4 linked regions of the Oreochromis niloticus genome follow. The protein of the gene in region 4 interacts with the protein of the main gene of each other region in a pairwise test. Links are inferred from orthologs where the notes say so. Each region holds a gene or a part of one and is shown on either strand. Other genes may lie near its edges. The genes, in order: bag3, hnrnpul1, ppp1r16b and sf3b4.

Region 1 (7,305 bases), on a different chromosome or scaffold from region 4:
TATATATATCTGAAAAAAACAAAAAACAACAACACGCCACACAGAAAAAGTAAAATTACCTGTGGCCTTTCTCCCATCACTTGTGATATAACAGGTGACTGGCTTCTGATGTGAGGAGGGAGATGAATGGAGGCAGTATCGCGGTGCTGAGGAAACAGAGTTGGCGAAGCCTGTTCCCGGGGGGGCTGCATTGCAGCAGAGTAGCCGGGCCATTCATCTGTCTGAAGACGATGGAAGGGCTGCTGATGTTCTGGGTAAGGGATGCGCTGAGAGTAAACTGAGGGATTTAATTGAACCTGTGTTTGTCCCCCTCCACCCTCATGAATCACTGGTATAGGGATATAACCAGACTGGAGACCGGTGCTGCTGGGCCGTGAAGGTTGGTGATGCGTAACAGTATAAGCCTTAAAAATAAATGAACAAATTAAAACAGTCAAAATTCAGTAGTTGTTTGAAAATTGGAACATTTCTGCCTACTGTAAACATTATACTCCATCTGGTGGCACATTTAAACTCAATTCCCACCTCTGGTGTCTGTGAGACAGGCGAGCTCGTCTTTCCAGGCTCAGCGGAGGAGCTGTCTGACGGGCCATGTAAAGGCGATCTAGGCCTGCAGTGGAGCCCCGGCGTTGGGGAAGGTGTCCGCCCATCTGTCCGGATGTTCTGTGCAGTGCTCGGCTGGATGTAGGAATAACACGGGTGCTGCTGCTGCTGCCTCAGTTCTGCACCCTCATGATAGACTGGGATGGGAACATAACCTGGGCGAAGAATGGGGTGCTTCATCTCCCTCACAAAGGTCTTCTGTGTCTCCTGAGGACTTAGTTCTGGCTGTATGTTGGGTCCATTTGCTGACACTTCTCGAACCTGAAACATAGCAACATAGCAATCTATGTAACCTTATACTCAGATTAATTACAGTTGCTGTTGTAGTTTATTGCAAATTTTAGGCATCGGTTGATTACAAAATGTGCTTTAATATATTTTTAGCCAACCTATTCTTGCTCATGGGTGTGTAACAGAAGAAAAATTACTTTTACATATGTTAAATATTCAGCTATAAGCTCCTCCACTTAAAGAGTTGCATTTAAGTCCACGTACAACAGGACATTTTACGATGTGCCACTAAATGTTTTTCTTCAAAGTATTAAGGAATTTTAAAAAGCAAAGTGTTTTCCATCCTGAGGTAACTGCAGAGGTTATAGGTTAAAATGTCACAATTTCGCAGAGGGATGCCAAAAGTATTGAATCTTTGATATGTGAACCCACAGGCTCTGGTGCGTTTCCCGTCAGACAGCTTGCTGTTTCCGTGATGAATATTATTGTTGATTGTTTCACAATCAGAGTAACATAACCTGGATGAATGTCCTGACTTATCCAACAACAACAGTTAGCACATCCTTGGATCTAATAATATCAGCCAAACATTAGGATTTTTACAGAAAGAGGAAATGTGGTTTGCTTTGATTGAAAAAAAAAAAAAAGCAAATATATGAGTTCTTTCCACATAGCACAGTAAATTCTTTCTCGAGCAACATTTATTCATCCAATCATAGACAATCCCAGGATACATTTGTATACATACAAGAGTAAAATATAATTAAAAGAAGGGGCTGGGTTCTACCGTATGACTAGTAAATCAATGCTTTAAATTTCCATTTTCTACTGCAGAAAGGCGCTTGTTTTCTATTAGTATTACTCTAGACTACACACCTGCACATGACAGCTATGGATGGGTACAAGCAACAGGTCTGCCAGTTCAGCACTCAGTTAATGGCATAACTGAAAAGTGACAAAAGTTGTACCAGCTGCCCGAAACACACCCGAAGTAAACACCTACAAAGCAAACACTGCATTTATCTGTAAATCAGTGGCATTCTTCCAGTAGGACTAAAGTAATGAAATAGCCGTGAACGACCCTTTGCCCTCTGCCACTATGGGACACTGCACGCTGCCAGCACCATTGCACCAATTTTATCCCCCAACAGCTGTGTCTTTCTAGCAGATTCCTCTGGACACTAACTTTGGACAACAGCGTCTCTCTCTCTGAGACGAAAGATTACCAGCTGGCAGGCTGTGAAGCTCACTTCAGCCCACGGGTTTTCTCTGCAGACCTGTGCGCTTTCACAACACGGTTTTTAATACAGCTGAATGCGATACGCGGGGGGCAGCCAGCGCCCGGCTACAGCCGTACACAACCGAAGCGAAGTGGACCAGCCTCGATCCTTGTAAGGGAAAAAGTTTAATATGAGCAGGACGTCGCAGCACTGTTTTGCACCGTGAAAGAAACACATTAAAATGCCGGGGAGCTCATCATGGGTAGCCTTTTGCATGCTGCAGAGTGAGTCATCGAGTAATAATAGTGTTAGATCATGACTCGGGAACATATCAGAGTTGATCACCCGTTATAATGGGCTTATGAGCTGTCCGTGAGGGGGAGGCAACGGTGCCAAACAGGGCCTACGGTCAACAAGACTAATATATAACAGTGATGTAGCGCAAAGGCTTCTGCCGCTTTAACAACGCAACAAACCAAAACATGCACCACAACCGACGCACGTCGACAGAAAAAAAAATAGCGGTGAAACTGCCGTTAGCCGTTACCGTTAACTGACCAACTTTATCCCGCCGCTCTTTTACCTTTTTCGTGTCGTGTCTCGGGTCATTCCAGGTTGTGGTACGGTTGTTGTGGTCCACGAAGAAGGGCCATCCAGTCTGAGGGTCAATTTTTACTTCCCAACCGAGGGGGAGAGGGTCGTTGTCATTACTCGCCATGGTCAGTATCGGTGACTGTGTCTTCATGCCGTTCATATTGCTGGCTGTCGAGTACTGAGACATTTTATACGGGCGACGGACGCTTTAAAGATTCCTTCAAGTGACGTGGAAAAGTGGGCTGGAAGTTTCTCGAAATAGCAGGGTTAATGTTGGGGGCGGACAGCGCTGGATACAGTGGCATGGGTTCCCAGATTTGTTATGTCGCAGGCAGACCCCCCCCTCACATAGACACAGAGTAAACCCTCGATATTTTTTTTTTTTTTTTTTTTTTTTTTTTTTTTTGCCCACCCCACCATGCATCCTTTTCCCCCTCTTTGCTGTGTCCTGTCTGGGCAGAGAAGTAATCACCCTTACGTGTACAGTGGGCACTGTGGACCTTCCTCAGTGACCCCTGCCCCTGAACCATTTTCCAAGACAAGGGAATCCCAAAGTGTTTGCTTAAAAAGATGTTCTCCAAATAGATGTACTCAGACTCCCACATAATAAATGCTGTCCAAGGGAACTCAGTCTGGGTTTGCATTGATTTGGTGCACAATTATGTAACTGGTGGTGTGATAAGTGTGGGCACAGTGACACGTCTAATGACTGATCTTTCTTAATCAAAGGACTACTCCAATTCTGCCCTGTACTACAAGGAAAACACCAGTGCAGCAAACCTTTGATCTCGTGGACTTAACAGTGTCACAAACGTTCAACACATGGATTTTTAAAGGTGTTTGATATTTTGGACATTGCAGGCAACGACATCTAATATTTGCATTTTGGCATACCAGAAAATACACACGTGATTGACAGTAATAAAATATGTATTAAGTAGTTTATGGGAGCAATTCGTTTTAATTGGATATCTGCCTGCGAGGAGGGGAAGCCAACTTTAATTTTTGCAAGCTTGTCAATTATATCACCGTTAATTACCCATCGCCACGCTTTTCTTAATCCACCTCAAGCGGCTTCTTATGGCTGTAAAAATATCGCGGTTGCGCAACACAAATTAGAGCCAGTAACATTAAAGAGTGAGAGTAACTAAAGTCTTTAGTATTTTTTATGGAAAATTACTAGTAGACTTAAGAATGACAGGGGATCATTTTTTACGCATTTGTCCTTTAATAAAAGTCCTTCAAAATAAAAGCGCCCACTATGCGCCAAGTTTAAACCACAAGGAAAAAATAAAAATGAGGGGGGAAAGAAAAAAAAATGTCTTTGGGTAGTATAAAAAAAAGTACAATTCTTTGGTTCTGTACACCCAGGGTTATCACAACAGTTCAGGCAATAAACTCAACAATCTTGTTATTCAACTTTTTTTACATATACTTTGACATATAATTTCCTTCCATCCCCCACCCCACAACCACTGCCTTGTTGTGACTAAGCATTTAAAAGAGTTTGTTAATAAAGCGTGAATGTACAAGTCAAACGGGAAATTTCTTCACAGTGACATCTGAGCTCAGATTCGAGAAAGGTCCTGGTGGTTCGCGCCACTGCCTTGAGCCGTCAAATCTCGGCATTGAAAACAAGCGTACCTTTGCATTGCATTTCAAAATAAGAGTTTCGTATGCAGCTTCCTTTTCCAAAATTAATAAAATAAGTACACATTAGGTTTGCTCTTTCGGCTTTTTACAGTTAATTTTTTAAAAATGGTGTCATTCAGAAGTAACGGTCTTTAAGAAATTTTCAATTTTTTACTATTAAGAACGCAAAAAGCCTTTTATTACTTCAACCTTATGTGACGGGTCTCTTCCTGCACACGCACGTACGTACTCTGGACTCTCACAGTGTGACGTATGCTCTGGCGCCCGGTTAGCTAGCTTCTAAGCTAGTTAGCTAGTTGTGGTTTCTAATTGCCAGTTAATACCAGCTATAACTAGCTAGTAAGTGGCGTTTTCTTCCCTGGTTACTGTCAGCATCGACTATGGACGACGAAACCCACCCCAGAACCCTGTAAGTAGTTTTTCGTGTCCGGCAGTAACGTTGCGTGTCATTAGTTTCGCTATCGTCGGTGTTCGGTGGCTAAATTAGCTAGCTGTTGTTTCCACAAACAACTGGACGACATAAACATTTAGCGTTTATGCTCCACTATTTTCAGGTTAATTGACATAAGAGTTAATTAATAAGTATATGTGAGTTATATATAAGTGTTAACAACTGTCTGTTAGATGTTACTAACATCGTTAAAAACAGACTACTGTAAGGAACTTCACTTCAAAAACTCATAATCACCAATGATACTGTAATACCAGAAACGAAGTACCCGTGCTTCACTTTTTCAAAGTAAATAGCTCGTTTCCTGGAGTAAGTGGACTTCTTTTTATTTTTCCTCCTCTAGGTATGTGGGAAACCTCTCCAGGGATGTAACAGAAATTCTGATCCTGCAGCTCTTCACCCAGATAGGACCATGCAAAAGCTGTAAAATGATCACAGAGGTAAGCAGCTAAGGTTGCTGGGTTATCTTGTTTTCTACATTTTCACCTAGTTGTAGTTTTAGTTGAGCCACACTGTTAATCTGTTGTGTCTGATCTTATCCTTACAGCACACGAGCAATGATCCCTATTGCTTTGTGGAGTTCTTTGAACACAGAGATGCTGCTGCAGCCCTTGCAGCCATGAATGGGAGGAAGATATTAGGAAAGGTAGGACATAGCTGCTCTAAAAAATTATATGCAAAGTTATTAAGTTTATTTGTTGTATTAATGCCTCTCATCCTTGAATATCATACAACATTGTTTTCCTGAGTCTTCTTCACAGTTTTAAGTGCTCTCTGTGAATTCTGTTTTCAGGAGGTTAAAGTAAATTGGGCCACCACTCCAAGTAGCCAGAAGAAAGACACATCCAGTAAGCGATCGCCTATTGATTCCCCTACACCACCACGCACACAAACACACGTACACTCTGCTGGAATCAGAGTCTACTGGGGATTAGCAAATAGTTTGTTTACTATGTTCGTGTTTTCTTTTGTACTAGATCACTTCCATGTTTTTGTGGGTGATTTGAATCCAGAGATTACTACTGAGGATGTCAGGGTTGCGTTTGCACCATTTGGGAAAATATCGTAAGTTTTTACGTGTGTGTGAGTGTGAGAGTGTTTGTGTGTGTGTATTTTTTTTCTACTTGTCTTATGTGTAATACAATATGTTTCAGTCCAACCACTGATTTTTTTTTTTTTCTTCCTCCCAGTCGGTTGAGAAACAGGTTTTATAGGTTGTAAAGGTGAAACAGAAAGTTGCATTACACAATGAGGCCTGCATTACTGATGTAATCTTTTTGGTTGAAAGACAATTATGTTTGATTGTCAAGGACTGGAAATTGGCGCTCTGTGCACACCTTTTGGAGAGAAAAACGAACCAGACAACATAATGAATGTGTAACAGGAAAGGATTAACACTGGAATGGAATAGAGTAGAATAGAATAGCCCTTTATTGTCACAAAGAGTATTGCTTACATTGAGTAGAAAAGGCCCCACATCGATGCATGTAAACATACTTAAACATGGAGTAACTAATACCTTTAAAATTATGTTGTTGTTGTTTTTAGATATAGAGTGGCGACACATTTGCATTGACAATGTGGTCGGTCTATTATGTCTTTATTTTTATGACTGAACTGTCAGTTTTTTTTATGCATATGTAGGGTGTGGTAAGTAAACTGTACAGCATGTGAGCAAAATGTAAGCTGTGTATATGTACCTGAACAGCTTTTAGTTTTGAGTCTCAGTGAAGTAATAGCACTTTGGTTATTTTACAGAAATGCTCATAGGATTGGACAGGAGCTTGAAGGCTAACAGCAAGGAACTGTGCACTCTGGAGACTCAGATGTAGTTTTTTTCTCTATTTATTCCATTCTTTCCATATGTCTTTATTTGTAGATGCCATGTATTAACATGACCTAGCTTAGATTAACAAATTCCAATACAAAATGTCTTCCTCTAAATCTGTGTTTTTTGTCTTATTTTTGATTTGCATAGTGTTGTTTGTAGTGCCATGATCCTCTTCCAAAAATTCTGAAAATGTCAATTTCTCAAAATTTGCAGCTCCCCAAACTCCATACTCCATATTGGTGGTAAAGAATTGACCAGGAAAAATAAAGAAATCTGTTAACAGGCCATGTATGCCGTTTAATTCCTTTTTTCTCTTTTTGATATTTTCTATTTATTTCTGTCTGTAGTAAGAGTACGAACAGCAGCTTATAAGAATGCATGGTAATCCATAGCCATTTGCTTTGTGATTTTTAAATCTGTAGCCTACTGTTGTGAGGACTGAGCAAACAGTGGTGCTCTAGTGGTAAAGATCCATTAATACGTCAGAAATGATTTAAAGACAGTACTGTAGGCTGCATGTATTTGTACTTGTTTTTCAAGTGTTGCTTTGAAGTTATATTACGAGTCAGTACTCCGTACAAGGTCATGATAGCTAATGTAGCTTAATGTCGGACAGAGTAGAGGATTCACAGTTCATTGTGTTTTGCGTGGTTCCTTTTTTGTTTTAGTGTAGAAGATTTAAACTTCAAAGTGTGCTGAAGTTGTTCTCATTTCTCCTTCCA
Region 2 (7,618 bases), on a different chromosome or scaffold from region 4:
CCAGACATTTAGTCATAGCTGCGTACTGAGTTGAGTTATTTTGGCTGATAGTCCAGCCCCTCGGCTTTCTTCACTGCTGTAACCCGAGCCAGGTGTTTCTACCACAGCTGTTCCAGGTGAAGTATATAATCTGTGAGGGAGGAGTTGCGTATTATTTAGTATCTCGCAGACAGGTAACTGTTGATTTTTTTTTTATTCACACCCTCACTTTTAAATAGAAATACATATATTTTTTCAGTTTATGAACTGTGTGAAATATATATATGCATATATATGCTACCATATATAGCCTACGTTACATGTATAATAATAGACTATTGTTTTACAAACACAATTATGTATTTTTAAAAAGACATAACTGTGTTTTAATTCGTTGGGCCTACATACATTAGCATATAACTTCCGATACACCAGTCTCTCTCATTTAAAAAAAAAATAAAACCATAAAATAGTATCTTACTGTAGTTTATAATGGTTGTGCAGTGTGGAAATGATCTAACATGCAGCAATGCAATATGATGCCACGTAAAAAGTAGTTTGTCATTTTATTAATTTAATTAATTACCTATTTAATTCATTTTTAAAGAGAAAATTAATGTCAAACATCAATGCTGTTATTTAAATTGGGAAAGACGGGACGTTTATCATTAAGTGAGTTCTAACTAATAGCAAAACAAGATAACAAATACAAACAAATACGTCGATAAATAAATAACCAAATAAGTAAGGAAATCAGGGCGTTTCACTTCACGAGACTTGGACACGTGGACGGATTTGTGACTGGGCTTGTCAATCATAAACGTCATCACGTAACCTCTACGCACTCCGCCCCATTGAGAAGCGTTTCCGCCAAGATGGTTGTCGGTGCCTTCCCTATCGCCAAGCTCCTTTACCTCGGAGTGAGGCAAATGAGCAAGCCTGTGGCTAACCGGATAAAAGCTGGAGCCCGGAGGAGCGAGTTCTTTAAAACTTACATTTGCCTGCCGCCGGCACAGCGTGAGTAATTTGAGCTAACGGCTGCTAATGGCTTAGAGTTCAGTCCAGTCACCTCTGACGGTTGATAAGCATGGAGAGCCGCAACAACCAATGACAATGAACCTGAAATGACTGTTATCCAATCATCTTTAAGAATTTATATCTTCGACCAATAGTAGCCAGGCAAGCTCTAAAAGGGCGGGTCTTGTCTGTCATTGAACAGGTTGTGTTAGCCTTTGCAATGAGGGCACGGCAGGACAACTGTAGTCCTAACACCCTATTCAGAATGTGACGCTGACTTTAATTAGACAGAAATATGCTAAGTGGACACTGAGCTCTATTGTTTAGGCATATCTGACTTGTTTGTGTTAGTCATTTAGAATACTTCGCAGGCGGCAAGTAAAGCTTACTGTGTATATCATGTTGTGTTTGTAATTGTGTTCTCCATCATTCATTTTCAGATAATAAAAAAGGCTACAAATAAAAAAGAAGCTACAGTTTTTCGTTAAAGATTAAAAAATTTTTTCGTTAAAATTTTAAGTAAATTAATGGATCAAATCGAGCTTTTATGAAAAGGTGCTGGAGGAAAAAATGGCATGGTATTATTTGTTGACCGAGTAGATAAAATGCAATAAAAGGTTTGATTACTATTAAAAGGTAGTCTTATCTTCATATATGATGGCTGAGTGAAGCAGAAAGGATTTTACTCCAAACTGTGAAAGTGTAGTCATACTTAGAGCTGTCAGGAGGTGAAGGGGGGAAAGACATTAGAGCAATAAGGTGAAAGTACACCAGCTTTTGAGGAGTCTGAGCAGGGGCAAAATGACAACACACAAAATTTGTTATGGACAAGAAATATTATGTAAGCTAAGGCTCTGAGGGATTTGGCCTCTCAGTTGCCATACAGGACACCCGTGAGTGTGAAGGGATTCATCTTTACATGGCAACCTTCTTGCATTCTGTTTAAGAGACTTCTCACTTTCCATGGGGCTTTATTCTTTTCCCACTTATCACTGACATCAAGAAAATGTTTCTCTTTGATGGACTGCTGAATCTTGAACTATTAACCAGTAAATTTGGATCCCAAGTTAGGTGGTGACCACAGATATGCTGAAGAATGTTTCAGTTTTAATGCTACATTCAAAAATGAGCATCTCCCTCTTGTTTGTGCCCTGAAAAAAAAGAAAAAAGAAACCTGGTTGCCTAATTTCTGTGTAATGTATTAAGAGCACCACTGATTTAGTGGTTTTGGACAGTGCTTTCCTGTTTTCATGTTTTATGCTAAAAACAATTTCAACCCAATTTCAGTAAGGTATTAATGCTACGTTCCCTTCAGAGATGACCACCACCTTCTGGTTTTTGAGCACTGAGATTGTTTTCTGTTTGATTTAATCAGAGGATCACCTGTTTGGTGGTTGTGTGCAGCGTTGTCCTCTTTTCATTCTAAAAAATTTTTAACCCTATTTCAACCAGGCTCCTCAAAAACTGAAATGTGTTCCTCTGAGCTTTCAACTTTCGGCTCTGATGTCTGGCATTCCCCCAGCTCATCTCCTCACGGCAATAAGACTGACTCCCCTTCTGCAGTTCTCAATAAAATCCAGTCTGCCTCATCCTACTCTTTGCTTCCTGAAGTGTGGTAGCAGAATGAGAGGTAGTAAGTCTTCTGTCCACTAGAAAGGACACTGAATAAAAAAGTAATTGCTGGGTCCTAGGAGGCTATGTCACAATTGAAGACAAATATAACCTACATAAAATGATAAACTCTTCAACTTCTTTGTTGTCTTTATTTATTGCACAAAAGTTCAGTTGCAGCTAGAACAGTAAGTGAAGATGTAAATATAATTCCTCATACAAACCTTTTTAGCAGCCACAGTCTCTGGTATGCATGTTATTTAATTGCTTATAAGAGTTGCACAACAATGAAGGAGAATTTTGGACAACTCCCAGCAAAACCTGTTTTAGTTCAGGATTTATGTGATGCTTTAGTTGAACGGCCCTTTTTAGCCACAGCATCTCACTAGGGTTAAGGTCGTGGATCTCCTTTAGGTTATTGTCTTGTACATAGCATTACACAACCTCTCCCGTGCTTCAGGGTATGGACTGCTGGGCTGAAATTCTCCTCTAAAACATCTTGAAATACATTTTACTTTATTATTATTTCAGTGATTGCAATTGTCCATCACCTGAAGTTACAAAGCCTCCTGAAAACATAGTGCTGCCTAGACCGTGAATCTCAGCTGGGTAGAAGATTATAATAAATTATAGTGCAATGATGACATGCATCTTAAACCATAAATGCAGTTTCTCCTGTATTCACAACTTTTGACCAGATTATCTGATCCTTTTAATGAAAAAGTGAACAGGACCCAAACATATTCAAAGTCTAACAACTCTTTCCTTATATACTGTATGCTCCTTGTTCCAACAGTTTATCACTGGATTGAGATGAGAACAAAGATGCGGATCATGGGCTTCAGGGGAGCCACCATTAAGCCGCTGAACGAGGAATCGGCAGCAGAGCTGGGCGCCGAGTTACTGGGGGAGGCAATCATCTTCCTCATTGGTGGTGGATGCATGGTGTTAGAGTACAGCAGGCAGGCGGCTAACTCTCGCCGTAAAGAGGAGGAGCTGAACGAGACCCTCATAAGCCTACAGACGCAACTGGCAGAATTATCCCTAACGACAGAGACTCTAAGTGCGCAGCTGAGAGAGGTCAACAGGCAACTGCTGTCATTTCCTGTTCCCACCAAAAAGTAACAAATTTAGTTGTTTGCTATACAGCAAGGCATAATGTCGGGTTGTGGGGTGAAGGAGTGAGTGCACGTGTATATGTACAGCCTCATAGCTTTGAGCTGGGTGGAAGAGGTTGATATAAGTATATCACTGCAATGTGGATTTGGGTACTGTCATTTGCTCATGTTCTGAGCAACTAGTTGTAAAAAAAAAAGGGAATTGCTATGATATTCATAGTGAATTTCACTGGCTGACCTTGCATGTTCATTGTAAAGTTGACTGAGTGTATATAAAAACTAAAGTGGTGACCTTAAAGTTGATATATACATATATATTTTTAACAGCTTCAGCATATTCCTTTCTTTGTAATTCAGTGATCCTCGTAGACCTTAATCACTTTGGAAATGCTGAATTATATGATTTTTTTTTTTTAAATACTAATTATGAGTTACTATTAATGGAAAAAAAATATAAACACCAAAAAACAAAACCAGCTCATATCAGTGGATTAGTTTTTGAGAGAATCTGCCCCTGTACTGTCCATAAAATTCCATGTTGTAATTGCTGGTTTGTAATTGGATGTATGGTGACAATTGGAAAAAAAAAAAATTGAAATAAAACGATATGCTGGCTGTTGATAGCGTTTTTGTCATGTTTAATACGAAACAAGCGAATAAAAACTGAAAGCACCTCCAGAGTGGATGATGTCCCGCGTTTCTTCACATTACTGTAAAACTACAGTACCCAAGATGACGTCAATGTAACACTTCCTACTTTGGAACGCTCCAAGTGCTTAACGCGTAACATACAAAACATCGTTCTCTTTGATTTCATCTAAGATTATATGGTACAAATTAGTTAATGGTAAACTCGCGCTATTTGGTAGCTCAAAGAAGTGCATCCCAGTGTTTTACATTTGCAGCAGAATAATAAATTCAACCAACCGGCTCTGCTTAACTTCCGGTTCTGAGTTTGGTCAGGTTTGTGGCGCCAGGGGGCGGTAGCAACTCTTTCAGTCTTCTAACACGACTTGCCCGCGCAACTTGGGTGAAAGGAGGTAGGCCTCAACCTTGTTTCGTAAATATATTCTGTTTCAGTTCTAAACTATAAGCGGAGTGCACAGTGCATTATCTCCTGGACTTGCATGCAGACAAAGTATGGGTTGCAGCTTGCTTATTGTCTGAGTTAAAGTTTCTTCCCTTGCAGCGGCTGTCGGTACGTTAGCTAATGCTAGGCTAAGAACGTTAGCTGCTCAGCGAGATCTTCAGACGAGTAATAGCATTAGCATCTATTTTAGGGATAGTTTTGTCTTGCAAATGGTTATATTGGTAACGGCTGCAATAAAACACGAGTTTAATGGTTCACAGACGTGTAGTGGAACACTCTTTAGTCTTACAGAATCTGTCCAGCGTTGCTAGCTTAGCTAAACGGCTAACGCAGCCAGGCTGTGGACACGGTGCCGCGCAGCAGATAACATTTGAAAGTTATAAGGCAGTGTTTTTAGAAGTACCTGACCATTCCCCCCCCCATTTTTTGTAGCAAATAAAGACAACAGCCACCGAGTAGACATCTAAAATCACAATGAGTGTTGACGTGAAGAAACTGAAAGTCAATGAGTTAAAAGAAGAGCTCCAGCGCCGTGGCCTGGACACCAGAGGCCTGAAGGCAGACCTCGTAGAGAGGCTGAAAGCCGCTCTGGAGGCTGAAGCTAAGGCTGATGCTGGTGAGCAAGAGGATAAAGGGGATCAGCAGCAGGAAGAGGAATACGGTGATGACTACCAAGACAATGAAGATGAAACGGATCCACAAGAGCAGCAGGGTAAAGTACTATTTCATTAAACATTTCACTTCCATGAAACTAGTTTTATTACGTTGTTTTGGACTTTGATCCAATTTCTGCCCTTTGCTGGCATTACATTTTAAGCACTTCACTGTGCTTGAGTATAAATTAAAGTTTCAAAGTTGGGAAATGTCAACAAACTCTTTACTTTACAACCTAGAGAACACCTAAACTAAGTTTAAAATTTTACCTTTCCAGATTCAGAAGCAGCTGAGGACTATGGTGGTGGTGATGAAGCTGAAGGTGATGAAGCTGAAGGTGATGCCCCTCAAGATGAAGATGAGGGCCGAGATTCAGGTGGTTACTATGAAGAAGAGGAGGCAGAAGGTAACCCGTATGAAAGTCAGACTCCTTCAGACTCAGGCCACAATGTGCCTGACTTCACAGCAGATGAGGATATTCAGAAAACTGACATGATGTCTGAGGAAGAGACCAAGCCTGCAACAAAGGAAGTGGAGGAGGAGGAGAATGAAGAGGAGGAGAATGAAAAGAATAGACAAGGTAATTTTTCATTACTTTTATTACACAGTTGATTTTTATAGTCTTGTATTCATCTCTGATGGCACTGGTTGAGAATAGAAACGCTTTTCAGAGATTCAAACGTTTTACTGTTACTTACTGCCGACATGCAGAGGTGGCACAATGACCCAGTGATCTGCTTAAACTAAATGATGCTAAAGGTAGTGTAAAATTTTCCTTGTGGACTTTGGCAATACAGTAAAGACATGTAAACCAAACACTCAAACTGCTCTCATACCTAGTAGAAAAATTTCATGAACTTGTTTTCATGCTAAAAGGTGTTATGTGTGTTCATGTCTAATTATAGAAGTTAAAGTAGAGGTCAAAATGGAAGATGAATCTGAGGGTGCAGGTGAAAGGCAACAAGATAATCAGCACGAACAGCCGCATGGGGAAGATACCGCGGGCCAGCCAGAGCAAGTCAAAACTGAAGCTGAGAGAGGTGGACACTATGGACGTAAGAGGCCATATGAGGAGAACAGGGGCTACAGCTATTATGAGCACCGTGAGGAGAAGAGGTGAACTTCTACATGGTTTTCTAAGTTAACACAACTGTCTACACTCGGAATGGATAACACAAAGTGTACTACAATAAATACTCTGGTGTTATTATACAGATCCCGAACACCACAGCCTCCTGCTGAAGATGAAGAGGAGAACATAGACGACACTCTTGTTACAATTGATACATGTAAGTATGGTACATTTAAATAGTGTGTGAAAAAACTAGTATCAGTGTGCTGTCTATGGTTGTTTATAAATACCAGAGACTATGGGAAGTTGGACTGTTGTAGCAGACAAAGAGTCAGTTATTGACTACATGCTTTTGTTGATGGATTACCTGTAACATTTTGATATATGTATGCTCTGCTCTAATCTACAATGATCATGAGCGCACACTATAGCTGCAGAAAAGCGGACTAGATGTAGACTACCATCTTATGGCTGATATAGATGTGTTTGATGTTTTATCTAAATGTGCTTAACTCTTTGGTTTTCAGACAATTGTGATTTGCACTTCAAAGTTTCCCGAGATCGCTACAGTGGTTATCCACTGACCATTGAAGGCTTTGCTTACCTTTGGGCTGGGGCACGAGCAACTCATGGAGTCACCCAGGGACGCGTGTGCTATGAGATGAAGGTAGATGGATGCGTTTCTCCAAAGGCTTAGTAGTTTTAAAACTAGACATTTGTGCTGATGAGGTCAGACCTATTTTATGAAATGCTACCAATTTGGTGTTGTGTAATGATTACTGATACATGAAAACTTTGTGTTAATTATTGATATAGTGGATGGGGAAACTTTACTATTAACAAGCATTATCGTCAAATGTAAGAATAGCATTACCCTGTTGGCCTTTAAACCAATGTAGTTGAAAACACCATTTTTATAGAAGCTCTAGTTAACTTTTGTTTTGGTTTTGTTTTTTTTTTTTTTAACTAATGTCAAGTAATCCTTCTGGTTCTCTCACACACACACACACACACACACACACACACACACACACACACACATATATATATATGTATTAGGCAAACAGAAATCTTACT
Region 3 (7,358 bases), on a different chromosome or scaffold from region 4:
GGACTTCACATCTTACTCTGCTCTTCTGACCAGTGAGCATAGTGTTTGCATTGGTATATTTCGGCTTGTTTGATTTTCCCTGCCTTAAAAGAAATCGTAGCAAAGTGAAAAGTTCCAAGTTTACAAAATCACCTACACATTTAGAGCAGAACAAATAAATTAGAGGTCTGAAAGTGCACTTAAACCAAATTTATCTGACCAGCATTCCTTCCCTGGTGATTTAGACCTGACCACAAAATAAAAGCTTCACACTCAAGCCCACTTTCAAGTCAACCTGAAGATAGCAACAAAAATGAACAAATCTACACCTCAGGAGAAGGCTGTGGACTTTTAGGGCCTCTAAGCAGGCTCGATAGCTGCCCTGTGATTTGCCTGTCTTCGTATTAAGACCACAGATTAGCAGTCAGTGCCTGCTCCTAGCTGTAATCAGAGCGCTGATCTACTAAATCGCTTATCCATAGTAAGAAAGATAAGACCTGTTTAGCGGCTGAGAAACAGATTTCCAATTCATACAAAGAAACACACGTTTTATTTCACGCTTCTGCTGACCCGCTTTGATGCCCCGTTCCACTGCAGGTCCTGTTTAAGTATCAAGCGAGGCCAGTGTTTCAGCGTGCCTCCAGGGCTGATTCTGTTTCAATATTTTATGAGCAACAGTCAAATCACCGTGTTGGAATAATTAAACATCAGTTAGGGCACAAAGCTGCAGAGAATATATGGAGGCAGCTCTTCAGTGAGGAGGGAGTAGTGAAGCATAGCAATGGGGCTCCTTAGAGATCAGAGACGACTCACTCAGACACTCACAGGAATATAATTTTGCCATTACTCTGTATAACTGCTGTTGGTAATGTGGACGAGTGCCACGTTAATGTGCCTGTGTGGGTTTGTGTGTGAGCTAAACAATAATGGCAAGAAGACATCGCAATATTACGCTCAAATGTGGCATCAGTTACCGCGCATAACTTCAGAGAGAGAAATTCATTATCAGCACAGTTTTCAATTTCGATCTAATCCAACGTAAAGGCAGTTTGCAGTTACAGTACATTTACAAGGCCACAATATTTTCTGGGGGTTTCACTGTAAATGGATTTATACATTTTTCAGTTTATTTTATCCCTAATATTTGTCAGTTGCTTGTTTTTCGCAGCTTAAATTTAACTTTTACACTAAAATCAGTTCACAGCCACATGTTACATGTTTCGCCAGTATAGACTTTACATCTTAGCACTTCGCTTAAAGTTCAACCAGTTTAACCTTTGACCTTGTTAATGTGTGACCTTTTAATCAGCAGCTGATGGGATGACAGTCGCTGTTACCTGAAATAACAACAGCTGGTGGTTGAGTTTATCTGTTCGATTGATTGTCGTCATTATTACTCAAAACAGTATGGCCAAATTTGCATTAAAGGCACGGCTTGCCCCCAATTTAGAAGTGATTAACTTTTGGAGTCGCCTCATATATTCACAAATACAAACTTTATTCTTCAAGAAAATATTGCAAGCTAATCCAGATCCAGATATTCTTTCGGATCCAGCAACGAAACTGTGCAGAGGAATGCCGTCTAACTGCTCTTTATTTCTGATCCCTCCTGGGGCCTTCCTGCTACCTGTCACACAAGGGTTGCACCCTGAAGTTTATTATATTTCTATCTGCATCCCATCGCAGAGTGAGCTCAGCTGGTACAGTTGACCTCTGGTAGTCAGTGGTTATCTAGTTAAGCACTAACTTGCACAGTACATTTAGCAGCAGCACAATCCGGACTCCTGTTTGCGATGCACACCTGCAGGAGTCCAAGATTTGGGTGTTGATGTTTCGCGTGTACAGACACGCTTCGTCGCTCTTGTGCTGTCGCATGCATGTACAGCAGACATGCACGCAGTATAGCAGAGTGAACCGTCACTCCCCAACATGAGCCAACAGCCGGTGCAGATGCTGAGAGGAACAGCAGGCGGAAAGCGTTCAGGATGTCTCCACACATCAAAGATTTAAAGGTAACACAGCCAGGCAAGAAGCCCACCTGTCTTAGCAATTTGTACACCTGGCACAAAGTGAGATGAACACTGCTGATGATGTTTGGTGCACATCTCTGCAAGCAGCACATTAGGACACTACTGGTGTCATAATAATAATAATAATATAACATTTAGGGTCATTTTTTAAATACATTTTTATTACGCTCATACATATATGGGTTACATATAAGATTAATCACTTCAAATCACATAAAGGGGAGGAATAAGTGAGCATGCTACAGTCACAATAAAGCCGAAACTGTATGAGTGCACATACGTAAATTTCCTATATAAAAGTTAAGACGAAGACTCTGCTCGTCGGCACGTAAAGCCTGAACATCAGTCCGTTCAGCCTGGATTGTGGGAGTCACAAACTCACAAAGTAAATGCAAAAATAAACATCTGCAGCTTCGCCCGCTGCAAACAGTCCCGGTGTCCCAGCAGCAGCCAGCCAGCACTCCCGGACTAAAGGAGGGGGGGAGAGCCATGTGTGTCACCGCAGCGCTGTTACACCAACATCCATGAGGAGATGTTAAAGCCGCTCAACCAGTGTTGTTGTGTTTACTGGCGCCAGCAGCGGAAACGACGCTTTTCACCGGTTTAATTACAGCTCACAAAAGCGTCTGGTGACCCACTAAAGGCGGTAAAGTGCGCTAGCTCGGAGTGCTCCAACAGAAGCCGGACATGCCTCTCCTCCTGCCTGTCTACTGCCCCCTTTTCCTCCACGGGGGAAAAAATTCCCTTCTTCCATCTTCTGGTTTAGTTTCAAGCGGTCCACGGCAAACACACCCGAAATTACAATAGAGCTGGCAACATGTGTGGATGTTTGCACTCACCTCAGTTCGGGGTGTTCACACTGGGCAGAGGGGAAAGCAGAGGGTCCACTATGGTATCCAGGAGGTTTAAAGTTGTCCCGTTAGTAAAGACACAGCAGCTGGTGTGAGGAGCTCAGTGTGTGTGTCTCTGTTTGTGTGTGTGTGTGTGAGAGTCTGCAGAGTCCCCCTCTCTCTCTCTCTCTCTCTCTCTCTCTGTGCTTCAACACCAAGTCACTCCTTGAGGGCGGCGCTAAGAAGGAGGCGGAGACTGAAGCACGGATGGAGCCACGGTGGATGGCAGTGGTGCACGGAGTGGTGGCCCGCAGAGGCACCCTTTCACATACATTACAGGTTTTCTCCATCGCTTTGGTCCAAATGTCACTGCAGGAACAGTTAAAGGGTTTTCACATGCGTGCAACTATGCAAGGGCAGTCAATATTTGATAAGTGTAGATAACTGGTGTACAAACCACAAATTCTCAAGATCTTCCACAGCCCAGCGTCTTATAGCAGATTTATTATGTGAAAAGTGGAGTTGTAAAAGAATTTAAACATAACCTTGTGATGAACAGTTTTATAAATAATAGATTTGTTTACTTCTTTAAAGGATATAATCCTATTTAAATAGCTTAATAGTTCACAGGTTGTATATTCAAATATATTTAAAGTACATAAAGTAAATGTATACACGTGAAAGTAAACTTTAGGATCCTATACATCAGCGGTCCCCGACCTTTTTTGTGCCACGGACCGTTTTATGTCTAACAATATTTTACGGACAGGCCTTTAAGGTGTCACGGATAAATATAACAAAATAAGACCAGTACCGGTACCAAAAAAAGAAGATTTATTCATAAGGCACGGGAAAAGACACAGGGAAATCAAGTTAATGATAAAAATGATTAAAAAATAACACTAAAAACTGATAAAAACCCTGAAAACCATAAATTTCACACCCGAGCCTCAACTCTCACAGCCTGGTACCAAACGACTCGGAGGTTGGGGACCGCTGCTATACATGATATTAGTAACTTATAATTAATGAATTACTGATATATATATGTTTGTAATGTCCATGACCTTAAGTATTTGTAAATTTGTAGAATAAAAGTGTTCAGATGCAAAATTGAAATGTGAAGGATTTTTTTAAAACTCCTGAAAGTGAGAAAAGCAGAATGATCATTGGGAAAATATATACATCAAAAAAAGAGAAAAAGAGACTATATATATCACTCTTTTCCAGGCAACTGTATGTATAGTACATGTATTCAGCAGCCACTTTATTAGGTACAGCTGTTCAACTGCACATTAAGGCAAATATCTAACCAGCCAATAAAATTTCAGGAACTCAATGCATCTAGGCATGTAGACATGGTCAAGATGACCTGCTGAAATTCAAACTTAGCATCAGAATGGGGAAGGTGATTTAAATGACTGAGCTTGGCGTGATTGTTGATGCCAGATAGGCTGGTCTGAGTATTTCAGAAACTGCTCATCTAGTGGGATTTTCCCACAGAATCATCTCTATGGTTTACAGAGAATGGTCCGAAGCAGTCAAAATATCCAGTAAGTGGTTCTCTGAGTGAAAATGGCTCGCTGATGTGAGAGGTCAGAGGAGAATGGCTAGACTAGTTTAAGGAAGGGAACCGTAAAACAAATAATCCTAGCTACACACAAGGTTTGATGCAGAAGATCATCAGACCTTGAAGTAGATGGGCTACAGCAGCAGAAGACCACACTAGTGGTCACTCCTGTCAGCTAAGAACAGGAAACTGAAACCTGTACTCCAATGGCCTGCACAGTTGTCAGATCTCAGTCTAGCAGAACCTTTGGGATGAGGTGTAGAGGGAAATTTGGATAAGGAGCTGACAAACCTGTCATATCAATATGGAGCAAAGTCTCCGAGGAATGTTTCCAGGAGCTTGTTGAATCTATGCCACAAAGAATGAAGGCAGCTTTGGATGTAAAAGGGGGACCAACCCAGTACTAACAGAGTGTACCGCTTGACTCACACCAAAGTATATCTCAGGTCATCTGCCACCCTGTTCATAACCTGAGGTCCTGAGCTAAAGCTCTGCTGGCTGTCCCACAGTCTTACCTTAATAACCAAGGGTGATCAGGCTTTTTCTGCCAGGGCACTGACCCCCTGAGGATAGACTGGTGAGCTCATTATCATCTGTTTCTTAAAGAAATGTGTTTTATGGACAGCCTTTTTCAGCCTCCACTAAAAAAGCTCCACGTGTCATGTCAGGCACTAGGGGAGTGGACTCAAAGGCAGAGCTCACAAAGGCAGACTGAAGTTTTTATTTACAGGTAGATCAGTATAGTGAAAATACACAGACTGGTGAGGGGGACATCTAGGAAGGGGAAGGGTCCAACTTCCAAACCAAGCCAGCAGCCATTCCACACAATCCAGATCAATGTTCCAGTGATGACTGGCCGTCTACCCACGCCTTAAGTAGGAGCCCCTAATTGCTCATCTTCCACATGTGGGGAACCAGCCACAGGTGAGTTGGGTGGAGACTCAAGAACACAATCTTGAACACACAGCACAGAGAGAGAGACACACACACACAGAAACAGAGAATCCACTGGGGAGCCCGAGTCCTGACACTATGTTGAATTATGTCATGTTTCAGATTTGTTTGATCGTCCTCTCCTATTGACGATTTATATTTTCTTTAATTACCTGTTTTTCATTTTTAATTATCTTCATTTCTCCCTTTTATCTTTTTGTTATGCCAGGATTTCTATACCTTATTTATTGTTTCACTTTGATCTCTTAAACATTTCATTTATTGTTTGTTTCTGATCTTGTCATGTGAAGCATCATCATCATCATTATTATTATTGTTGTTATTGTTATTATTATTATTATTATTATTATTAGACTCAATAAACCCACCGCACACTAAAACAGTTGACTACAGTTTTCAAGTGAGATCACTGAATTAGAGTCTTGTAACAGTCTGTGTTGTTGGGTGTCAAGATTAGTCATGAAACTATTCGACTTTACACTTGTGGTTCTATAAAAATGGGACAGTCTTCATACAGGAAGTTGCAGGCGTGACGTCATGGATGTGTTAGTAACAGCTGGAAACTGTAGACTGTTGTGAGTTCCGTTTATGTAAATGCTGACAGGCAACAATTTAATCACAACACAAGTGTGTTGAAAGGTGGATTCAGAGGAACTAAATCTTTCACAAGCCAAGCTGCTATGATAATTCATGTAAAATATGCTTTTATTTTTTTACTTCTTTCTTTAAGGGCCATTCTCAGATTGGAGACGTGTTTAATCACATAAATGGACACAAAACACATATCTACATACAGATAATCAATAGTATTCATCTTCATATACTGAATATTTATTTGGTGGGTGGCTGACAGACAGACAGACCAACTGAACTAAATTGAACTATATTGCTTCCTGTTCACAATAGTAGGTGGCACGATGGTCCCCGCAGAGCTCAAAGTTGGACACATTAGCTTATCCGGTGATTCTAAAGTGCTAGTAGCTTTGACCTAGATGAAGAATAAAGTGTTGTATTAATGTGTTTATGAATGTGAATAATACAAAGGTTAAATGTGATTTGTTGATGCGGTTAATAGGAGTGCTTTACAAATGCCAGTCCATCATACTGTAAATTATTTCATGATTTGATGTGACATAAAACAATGTAACACTCTGCTGTTTGACACACCCTCTGGTTGCCTGTTGGTTCAAACGTCTCACACATAGGCCTAACAGATTTTTGTTTTTTCTTTTAATTTTTTTAATGAGACCAGAGATGTTTTTTACCACACGATTTCATGCATTGATTTAGGCCTTTAGAAAAGGCTTCTAATGAGTGTCCCAGATTTCAGCCTGAGCTGTCCCACATTAAGAACTGTGCACCATCTTTTTGCACTATGGCTGCAATTTCTTCTCTGTGTGATGTCTGCACATCTGCTTTTTCAAATATGATTAGAGAAAACCCTCAGAGATTTCAGAATGGTCTTGGGTGCAAATATATTTTATAGGCTATTTACTTTTCCATGACATTAAATCACTCCATTTACATTATCTATATTCTTTGGTTCACTCATTTGCACTACTTTTGCAGCCTGTAAACCTGAAATAACTACATTAAAGCTACTTTTGGTGGCTTTGCTCCCTTATTCACAGGAGTCACTACAGCGAGTATCATACCATACAACTTTAATTATAAAGCACTTTAAAACAGCCACAGGAATACCCTTTTTTCTGTACAAAGAAAGGGAATAAATACATTGAAAATGATAAAAATAAATAAAGACAACACTGATAGAAAGGACTACAATATAAAAAAACAAGTAAGATCAGTGCCTGATTCTGGATCAAAAGCCTAAGAGTATAAATGCATTTTAAGATGAGTTTTAAAAATGGGCATTTTAGACAGATGTCTAACATTTAAACGAAATTTATTCCACAACTTAGGGACAACCACGGAGAACGTTCTGTGGTTTTTGTATATGTAGGAGCAACTGGTCAGATGCCTTGAGAGCTCAGA
Region 4 (7,049 bases):
ATACCAGAAGCAGAAAAAAACATGTTTTAAGAAAGCAATTAAGTTAAAATATGATTGTTTGCTTGCAGGACACCAGGAGAGATGAGTCCTCCGTCACAGATGGTGTGGTCAGTGAAGATGGTCGCCTGCAAGTTCAAGCTCATTGCATCTCCAACCATCAACCACTGCCACTGTACTTAAGGGAAGTTAAAGACTTTCTTCTGCACCTACATTTGGATCACCTTGATCCATGACAGTCATTCAGGCAGTAATGCCTGGACTAGAAACAAGCATCCTTAAAATAATACAACATTCCAGCTCATGTGTTGGAATGGAAAACAAATGTGTTGTTTAAATTAGAGACTGCACTTGTGACAGAACAACAAATATTTTATTTTGATTATATAAGTAATGTAAGTACAAAACAAACTTGTGGTAGGCCTAAACTTATTTTCAGAATAATTACATCTGAGACTTTGTTTCATTGTAAGATTATAACAGCGATGGCAATATAATTGTTTGTTGTTCAGCAGAACAGTGTCCATTTTTGGCTGTTATACTTTGTTGTGTTTGAAAATAAAAGTTGGGCTGATTTTAACATCATTACAAAAAGTGTTGTTAATTATTTTTAATCATATTCAGGTTACCACAAATTGTTTTTTCATTTAGTTGAACTTGAAATGTTTGTTAGGTAAACAATTACTATTGTACAGTCAGAAATATCAAGTTATTGTTAATACTGCAGACTTGCAATGTCTAAGTTGTCCTAACAGTCATCTTAAGTAAGCTTTACTTATTTTTTTTGAGGCAACGAGTTTCCATAATTTTTTTGAGTTCTGGGAACTAAAAAAAGGCTGTACAGTGTACTCAAAATGAGTAAGTTGCCCTAACTTGGTCATCTGATGTAAACTTGATCCAATCTTTTTGAGTTCTGGGAACAAATGAGCTTGTACAGAATACTCAAAATAAATAAGTTATCCTAACTTAGTCATTTTTAGCTAAGCTTTACTCAATTTTTTTGAGGCAACGAGTTTCCATAATTTTTTTGAGTTCTGGGAACTAATTAGATTTTACAGTGTAATGTGAAAAGAGATTAAAACTCATGAGGAACAAATTTTATTCTTAGACCACTTCAGGTTGATTACTTCTTGTTCCTGCTCCTGGAAGTAGGTCAAGTTGTACCAGACACCCAAATTCATCTTGTAAGCTAATCACTTAAAATCACCACCTATTAAATTCTTATTAATGGAAACAAGATTTTTCCACATTACCTGATGAACGGTGCCTGAAATGTTGTGTAACACACCGCAGTAAAACAATAAAACAACTTCCATTTGCTCTTACCTGGAATGGCCATCGCAGCTCCCAGTGTGGTCAGGACCGGCGTTGGAGCCGTTGGCGGTGGAGGAGCATCTGCAAACAGCTGGTGAGGCCTGTCTGCCTGGGAGAGTGGATTCTGAGCGGCCAGGAGTCGCTCTGCGGCCGAGCCGTGACGCTCTCCTTTGGAATCTTTCTTGAAGGCGTACGACACTGTGATGGGCCTGTTGCAGAGGTACTGGCCGTTCATGGCCTCAATGGCAGCATCGGATGCATCGAAGCTGGCAAAATTGATGAAAGCATAACCCTTCGAGTTGCCGGTGTCTGGATCTCTCATGATCTTTGGCGTCTGGAGGATCACACCAAAGGCACTGAACGTGTCGTAGAGCAGTTTCTCATCAATCTCTGGGTCCAGGTTACCGATGAAGATGTTAGCACCGACATCCAGGTTTTTGTTGTGTGCAGAAGCTTTATTAACCCTGATCGGTTTGCCATAGAGCTTTATCATATTCATGATTTTGATGGCATAGTCAGCATCCTCTTCACTGAGGAACTCCACAAAGCCATAGCCTGAGAAAATAGCAAAAACAGTTAGCTGAGCTTGTTTTTGGTGATCCTTCAAAACACGTGCCAAAAAGGTGATCTGATTATTTACCTTGATGTTGGCCTGTGACTCTGTCTTTGGGCATGTGTGTGTTGACCACAGGACCAGCCTGCAGGAAAAGCTCCCATAGTAACGGCTCAGACACTTTCTCATCCAAACCACCAACATATACAGTGGCATCTGAAACATGAAGAGAGAATAAACCTCATAATGATCAGTGCATCATCACAGGTCATCAATCTCTTTTTTGTGGACACATGTAAAAGTCAATAGAGATACTTCAAGAATAGAAAAAATATATAATATTTGGAAATAAATTACTTAATCAGTGAGATCCAGTCCTTTGTGTCCTTTGGAAGCCCTGCTAATATAATTCAGCTGGAAGATGTGTACAGATAACTATGCGTTGTGAAACTACCGGATAAAAGATTTTAAAATTAGATACTTGCTTTTTCTTAAAGTTCCTTTATTGCCTCTCACACTCTCCTCATATTTAATATACGTGTACAATATTTATTATGCAAACTCAAACGTTTAGTGTTTACATCTAAAATACCGGTATCTAAAATCCTATATACCCACATCAAGAAACAGTCCCCGTCTAAAATCAGCACGATAAGAAACAAAGAAGTTTAATATGTTTAACTTGACCGCCGAGTGAAGCTACAAGCTATGTTGTTAGCTTCCTCGGCTACTTGTAGTTGTTGGTCAACTAGACGTTAAGTCTGCTGCTAATTTGCTCGCAACAATCACACTTCAAAACAACCCCAAACCAACGCTGAACTCTGGCTTATATATAAGTGACAAGTAAAAGGATGAAAAAATCTGAATGAAAAGCAAAATCAGCGACATGCTAAGCTAGCGACAACTCAATGTTTCCATGTGATCCGCCGGTTGTTTATCACAAACTGCTGTCTAAACGAGGCAGTCAGTAAGTAAATCTGAGCCGGTTCCGGTGAAATGTACCAGCACTTTTATGAATGAGGAGTGCAAATAAACAAAACAGAGTTTAATGATGAGTTTACCTTGGTTTCTTTCTGAAATTGGTCCCGCTGCCATGTTGAATGACCAACGCAGGGGGAGCGATGCACAATGAAACCCCGCCTCTTCCGATGCTGTGTAGCGGAAGTATAAAATAAAAATTCAATTTAATTTAATTTAATTTAATTTTTTCTGGTATGATATTAAATGTCGGATTTTAAAGAACATAATGTGAAAAACGAGTTCATTCCAGCTTGAATTGAATTTGTTTTATTTTTGTTTTAATTGCTTCCGGACACAATTTACCAAACAAAAGTGTAAAAATTGACAATATTATAAATGCAGTGGATTTCCTTATTACTGAAACAACTAGTCTCACGTTTCAATAAGACATAACTAGAGAAAAAATCCAATCAACTTACTATTATTTTATTTTATTTTATTTTATTTTTATTTAATAATAACAAACATAATTAATTTGTTTCTCAAACATAGTCCAGGTACTGAGTAGCTGATTTGTGGGTAGGTAGTCAGTGGGGTTGTAGTACTGTGTGCAGCCAGCACACAGTAAGGTAGCATTTCCTTGATGCTAGTATGGACAACTGTCTGGATCCCCTGCGATCCTCTTGGCTCTAAGTCTGCATCATTTCATTTATATGTCACCCAGATTTAGGAGATTGAACTCGATGGTTCTCTTGATTTAAAACAACCCCCCTGAGAACCAAGCAACCTAGACAAGAGTTTCAAGTCCTTTGATCATCTGAGGTAATAGAGGCAATTGGTCTATTACAGTTGTTTTTACTTTGATAACTTTTGTGGGCTCTGAAAGAGGAAAAATAAATTCACCAGTATTGCTCTGTAATGTTAATTGTGTTTGGTTTTGATCAGAAACAGTGCTACGATGCCTAATTTAGACTGTGGGTGGGATATATCTGTTATGCCTTCTGGTGGCATTTGCAAGTTACTGCATAATTTAAAAAAAATTAAAGTGAATGAAATTAGTGTTTTTATACTCTAAAAATCTGGAATATGTCTTTTTATTAATTTGGAATATTAAATTATTACCAGTGTGTGTGTGTGTGTGTGTGTGTGTGGCCTTGATTTTCAGTCACTGAAAACAAGTGGCTCGACACAGTGCCATTTGTAACAGCAAATTTATTACATATACATATAAATCTACTAAAAGTATAAACATGGAATACAAAATCTTCATAGAAAATACAAACAGTAAGGACCTCGAGAAACACTCTTATAAAACAATACTGTATAGAATATGAAACATATAAAACCAGAACTTAATCAACACATCATGCATCAAAGCAAAAAAAATGAAAAAACAAAACAAAAACATGCAGAGCCAAAACTGTTTTTTAGGAAACAAATAGCAAAAAACAAACATACGGTTCAAAAAACCTTCAATAATATTGATAACAAAGAAAGATCAAAGGCATTTTTTACAGAAGGAGCCTTGAGATTAATGGCTTGTGGCTATAAAAACAAACAAACCAAAAAACCAACCCAGATGTTGAGCATCTAAATTGAAACAAACTGCCTCAGCCTCCTTCCCGTTAAGCTGTTCATTAAAACACTGCTTGAGATTTCCTCATTAATCACATTTCCTCATTAATCTTAATTGAGTCAAAGAAGGATAAAATCACTGAAAGTGTTTCTGCATATGAAATCCTGGGAATCTGTTTAGTACCAAGTTTAAAATTTACTGATTTGAAATTTACACATTTGAAAAAGAGAAAATACTAACCAGGACATATAAAGTTGACTTTTTCAGTCAATTTTAAATTTGCATTATTCATTAAAGAGAACTGCAAAGTCAGCATTTTTATATTTGCGCCACACACATATGCTGCAAAGTGGGCACAAAGAAAGAAAACAAAAACAAAACCAGTATATAATGTTTATAAATTTATACCAAAGGTAATAACATTAAATACATCCTTCACAATCTAACGGCATGTAACATATTGAGGAAATGATTTGATAAAAACACTCTGCAGGTACTGGAAGTATTACCCAGCACAGACGCCACTTCAGACTGTAATTAAAAGATGGACGTAGCCACCATGTCATCGCCCACTGGTTTGGAAGCCTTGCATTTGGCATTCTGGACTTTTTTGATACCAGACATAACAAACAAGTGGTGAGAAACTGGGACTGTTGTGGAGGGCCGGATCAATAAGCTTATGAAGAGTGAAAAATGAATACTGAGCAGAAAGTAGTTCAGCTTATTGATCCGGCCCTCCACAACAGTCCCAGTCTAGCACACACCGTATTTTATCATAGTCAACACCAGCTCATAATATACCAACAGACATCATGCTGTGTGTTAAAAGGGACTTTTAAAAGGGACCACAATGACATAAGGAAAGTATTGACTGAGGTCAGTCCTTCCAGAGGAGTTGACAATTATAAAGAATGCAGGTTGAAGGCACTTTTGCACTGGCTTCACTTTTCAGACTACGGAAGCTTGTTTGCTGGAAAAACAATTTTAAAAATCGCCATCCGTAATTTGAAATTTCAAGTTAGGTTGAAATTTAGCTAGCTCTGCCAATCAGAAAGCTCTGTGAAGGTAGATCAATTCCTTGTCATGAGCTGTCTAACATTTCGACATGAACACGTTGATTCCACACCTTTTATCCATTTCTGCAAAGAGGCATTCAACGTTTGCTATACCTTGGTAGCTCACAAGCTTCTGTATTAGACAGAGAAGCTATGTCCATCTTTTATATACAGTCTGTGATTCAGACCAATGACGTAACATTGGTCAGATTTTGTTACCTTTGGGGCTGAGTGTGGGAACTTGTTTACATCCCTTTTCAGTCTTTATGCTAATCTATGGTGAGGCGGCTTTATTAAGCTTCATATTAACCAGACCGCCCTGCGTGTAACGTCAATCAAATTCTCAGAGTAAATTTCCCCCAACTATTCTTTGTAACAGTAAGAAATTAACTACATGTGTAAAGATGACTGTTCAAACATTGCTAGCTACCATTTTCATAAAGGCACAAAGACTCCAGAGATGAGTTATAGAAACTTCCTGCACTTTTTCTTTATTTGTTCTTTCTTTATATTTCGTGTAATCGAGTTCTGCTGCTCACAATCCAGCATTCAGCAGCAAGAACGAGCCCTCCTGCTGTCTGACTTTCATTACATCCAAAAGAGCCGTATCACATCAATTAAAACTTGCGTGGGGTCTTTTTAATGCTGCTTGTTAAAACGCCTTTATCCCTACAACGTATAAAAATGCATTTTATAAAGACGAACAAATATAAAGTTATGACATTTACGGTAAAAAAGGGTAATAAATGCCTGTTATATTACATTTTTTTGGCATGCAGACATTACAACGCTGCCAAAACCCAATTTCTCCTTCCAGTATCTCAAAAAAAACCTTAGACCACAGAAGCTGGCACTGTTCTGACTACAATGACTCAAAACTGATGGTTCAGCTTTCAAAAAAAAAAGAAAAAAAAAAGCCCAACTCATTCTCTGGCCTCCATTTTTTAACTGCTGAGACCCTGACCTACATTTAAGTCATAACAAACACTCACTTTGTTTGAACTCTACTAGCTGACCAACACAATCTGCATCACAAGAGCAGATTTGTAATTTTTTTAAGTCGTGTTGCTTTGCAGGTCCTTTTTGCTGATAGCGCATTAAAATGATACATTCGGCTAGTGTCATCGTCGCCAAGCAAGCGCCGAAGCTTTAAAAAAACGCCTTTGCAACAAAAGCTGAAGTAAAACGGCATAGTGGTGGTTTAATATTTGATCTTTTTTTTAAACCTGAGCTGCTGTCAGAGCATCAATTACCTGCTGACATGTTTCTTCTTTTGCAAATTACCCACAAATTATTATTACATGAGTCAATAAGTGTATTTCTGTGCTTACTGGAAGTCTAGTATTATTTGAGGCTGCTTCCCATAATAAACCTGTAGGAGCAGGTTGCACATCCATTACAGAAAACCGGTGATATTAGCTGGGATCTTTTATCCCCTTCATTCATATCTTGCTGAGTGGGTGACCTCTGTTCCTGTGCTTTATTCATGAACAAACACAGGCTTCTTGCGTCATCAATTTTGGCATCTTCCCATCCCGAATACTACAACCAACCAAAACAAACCGAAGCCGAGAAGAAACACACGAGCTACACC

The links.
Region 1: the proteins of sf3b4 (region 4) and bag3 interact in binary tests that used the Homo sapiens proteins (3 or more experiments, as listed by UniProt). The two-hybrid records come from large-scale screens. The link is inferred for Oreochromis niloticus from reciprocal best matches to the Homo sapiens genes SF3B4 and BAG3.
Region 2: the proteins of sf3b4 (region 4) and hnrnpul1 interact in binary tests that used the Homo sapiens proteins (3 or more experiments, as listed by UniProt). The link is inferred for Oreochromis niloticus from reciprocal best matches to the Homo sapiens genes SF3B4 and HNRNPUL1.
Region 3: the proteins of sf3b4 (region 4) and ppp1r16b interact in binary tests that used the Homo sapiens proteins (3 or more experiments, as listed by UniProt). The two-hybrid records come from large-scale screens. The link is inferred for Oreochromis niloticus from reciprocal best matches to the Homo sapiens genes SF3B4 and PPP1R16B.

The regions. Positions count from the first base shown.
Region 1 is NC_031978.2:25,360,696-25,368,000, reverse strand, and holds the start of bag3 (BAG family molecular chaperone regulator 3), read right to left. Parts: upstream 3,009-7,305; 5' UTR 2,836-3,008; coding exon 2,638-2,835; intron 865-2,637; coding exon 526-864; intron 405-525; coding exon 60-404; intron 1-59. Other genes in the region: tial1 (nucleolysin TIAR), read left to right, coding at 4,682-4,710, 5,096-5,192, 5,300-5,398, 5,546-5,600, 5,730-5,817. UniProt on the Homo sapiens protein: Co-chaperone and adapter protein that connects different classes of molecular chaperones including heat shock proteins 70 (HSP70s), e.g. HSPA1A/HSP70 or HSPA8/HSC70, and small heat shock proteins (sHSPs), e.g. HSPB8.
Region 2 is NC_031979.2:33,502,640-33,510,257, forward strand, and holds the start of hnrnpul1 (heterogeneous nuclear ribonucleoprotein U-like protein 1), read left to right. Parts: upstream 1-4,607; 5' UTR 4,608-4,765; intron 4,766-5,247; 5' UTR 5,248-5,289; coding exon 5,290-5,527; intron 5,528-5,746; coding exon 5,747-6,049; intron 6,050-6,374; coding exon 6,375-6,585; intron 6,586-6,684; coding exon 6,685-6,758; intron 6,759-7,068; coding exon 7,069-7,208; intron 7,209-7,618. Other genes in the region: opa3 (optic atrophy 3 protein homolog), read left to right, coding at 855-996, 3,404-3,732.
Region 3 is NC_031970.2:6,549,151-6,556,508, forward strand, and holds the start of ppp1r16b (protein phosphatase 1 regulatory inhibitor subunit 16B), read right to left. Parts: upstream 3,009-7,358; 5' UTR 2,849-3,008; intron 1-2,848. UniProt on the Homo sapiens protein: Regulator of protein phosphatase 1 (PP1) that acts as a positive regulator of pulmonary endothelial cell (EC) barrier function. Involved in the regulation of the PI3K/AKT signaling pathway, angiogenesis and endothelial cell proliferation.
Region 4 is NC_031985.2:19,772,816-19,779,864, forward strand, and holds the start of sf3b4 (splicing factor 3B subunit 4), read right to left. Parts: upstream 3,013-7,049; 5' UTR 2,960-3,012; coding exon 2,926-2,959; intron 2,081-2,925; coding exon 1,952-2,080; intron 1,867-1,951; coding exon 1,324-1,866; intron 1-1,323. UniProt on the Homo sapiens protein: Component of the 17S U2 SnRNP complex of the spliceosome, a large ribonucleoprotein complex that removes introns from transcribed pre-mRNAs.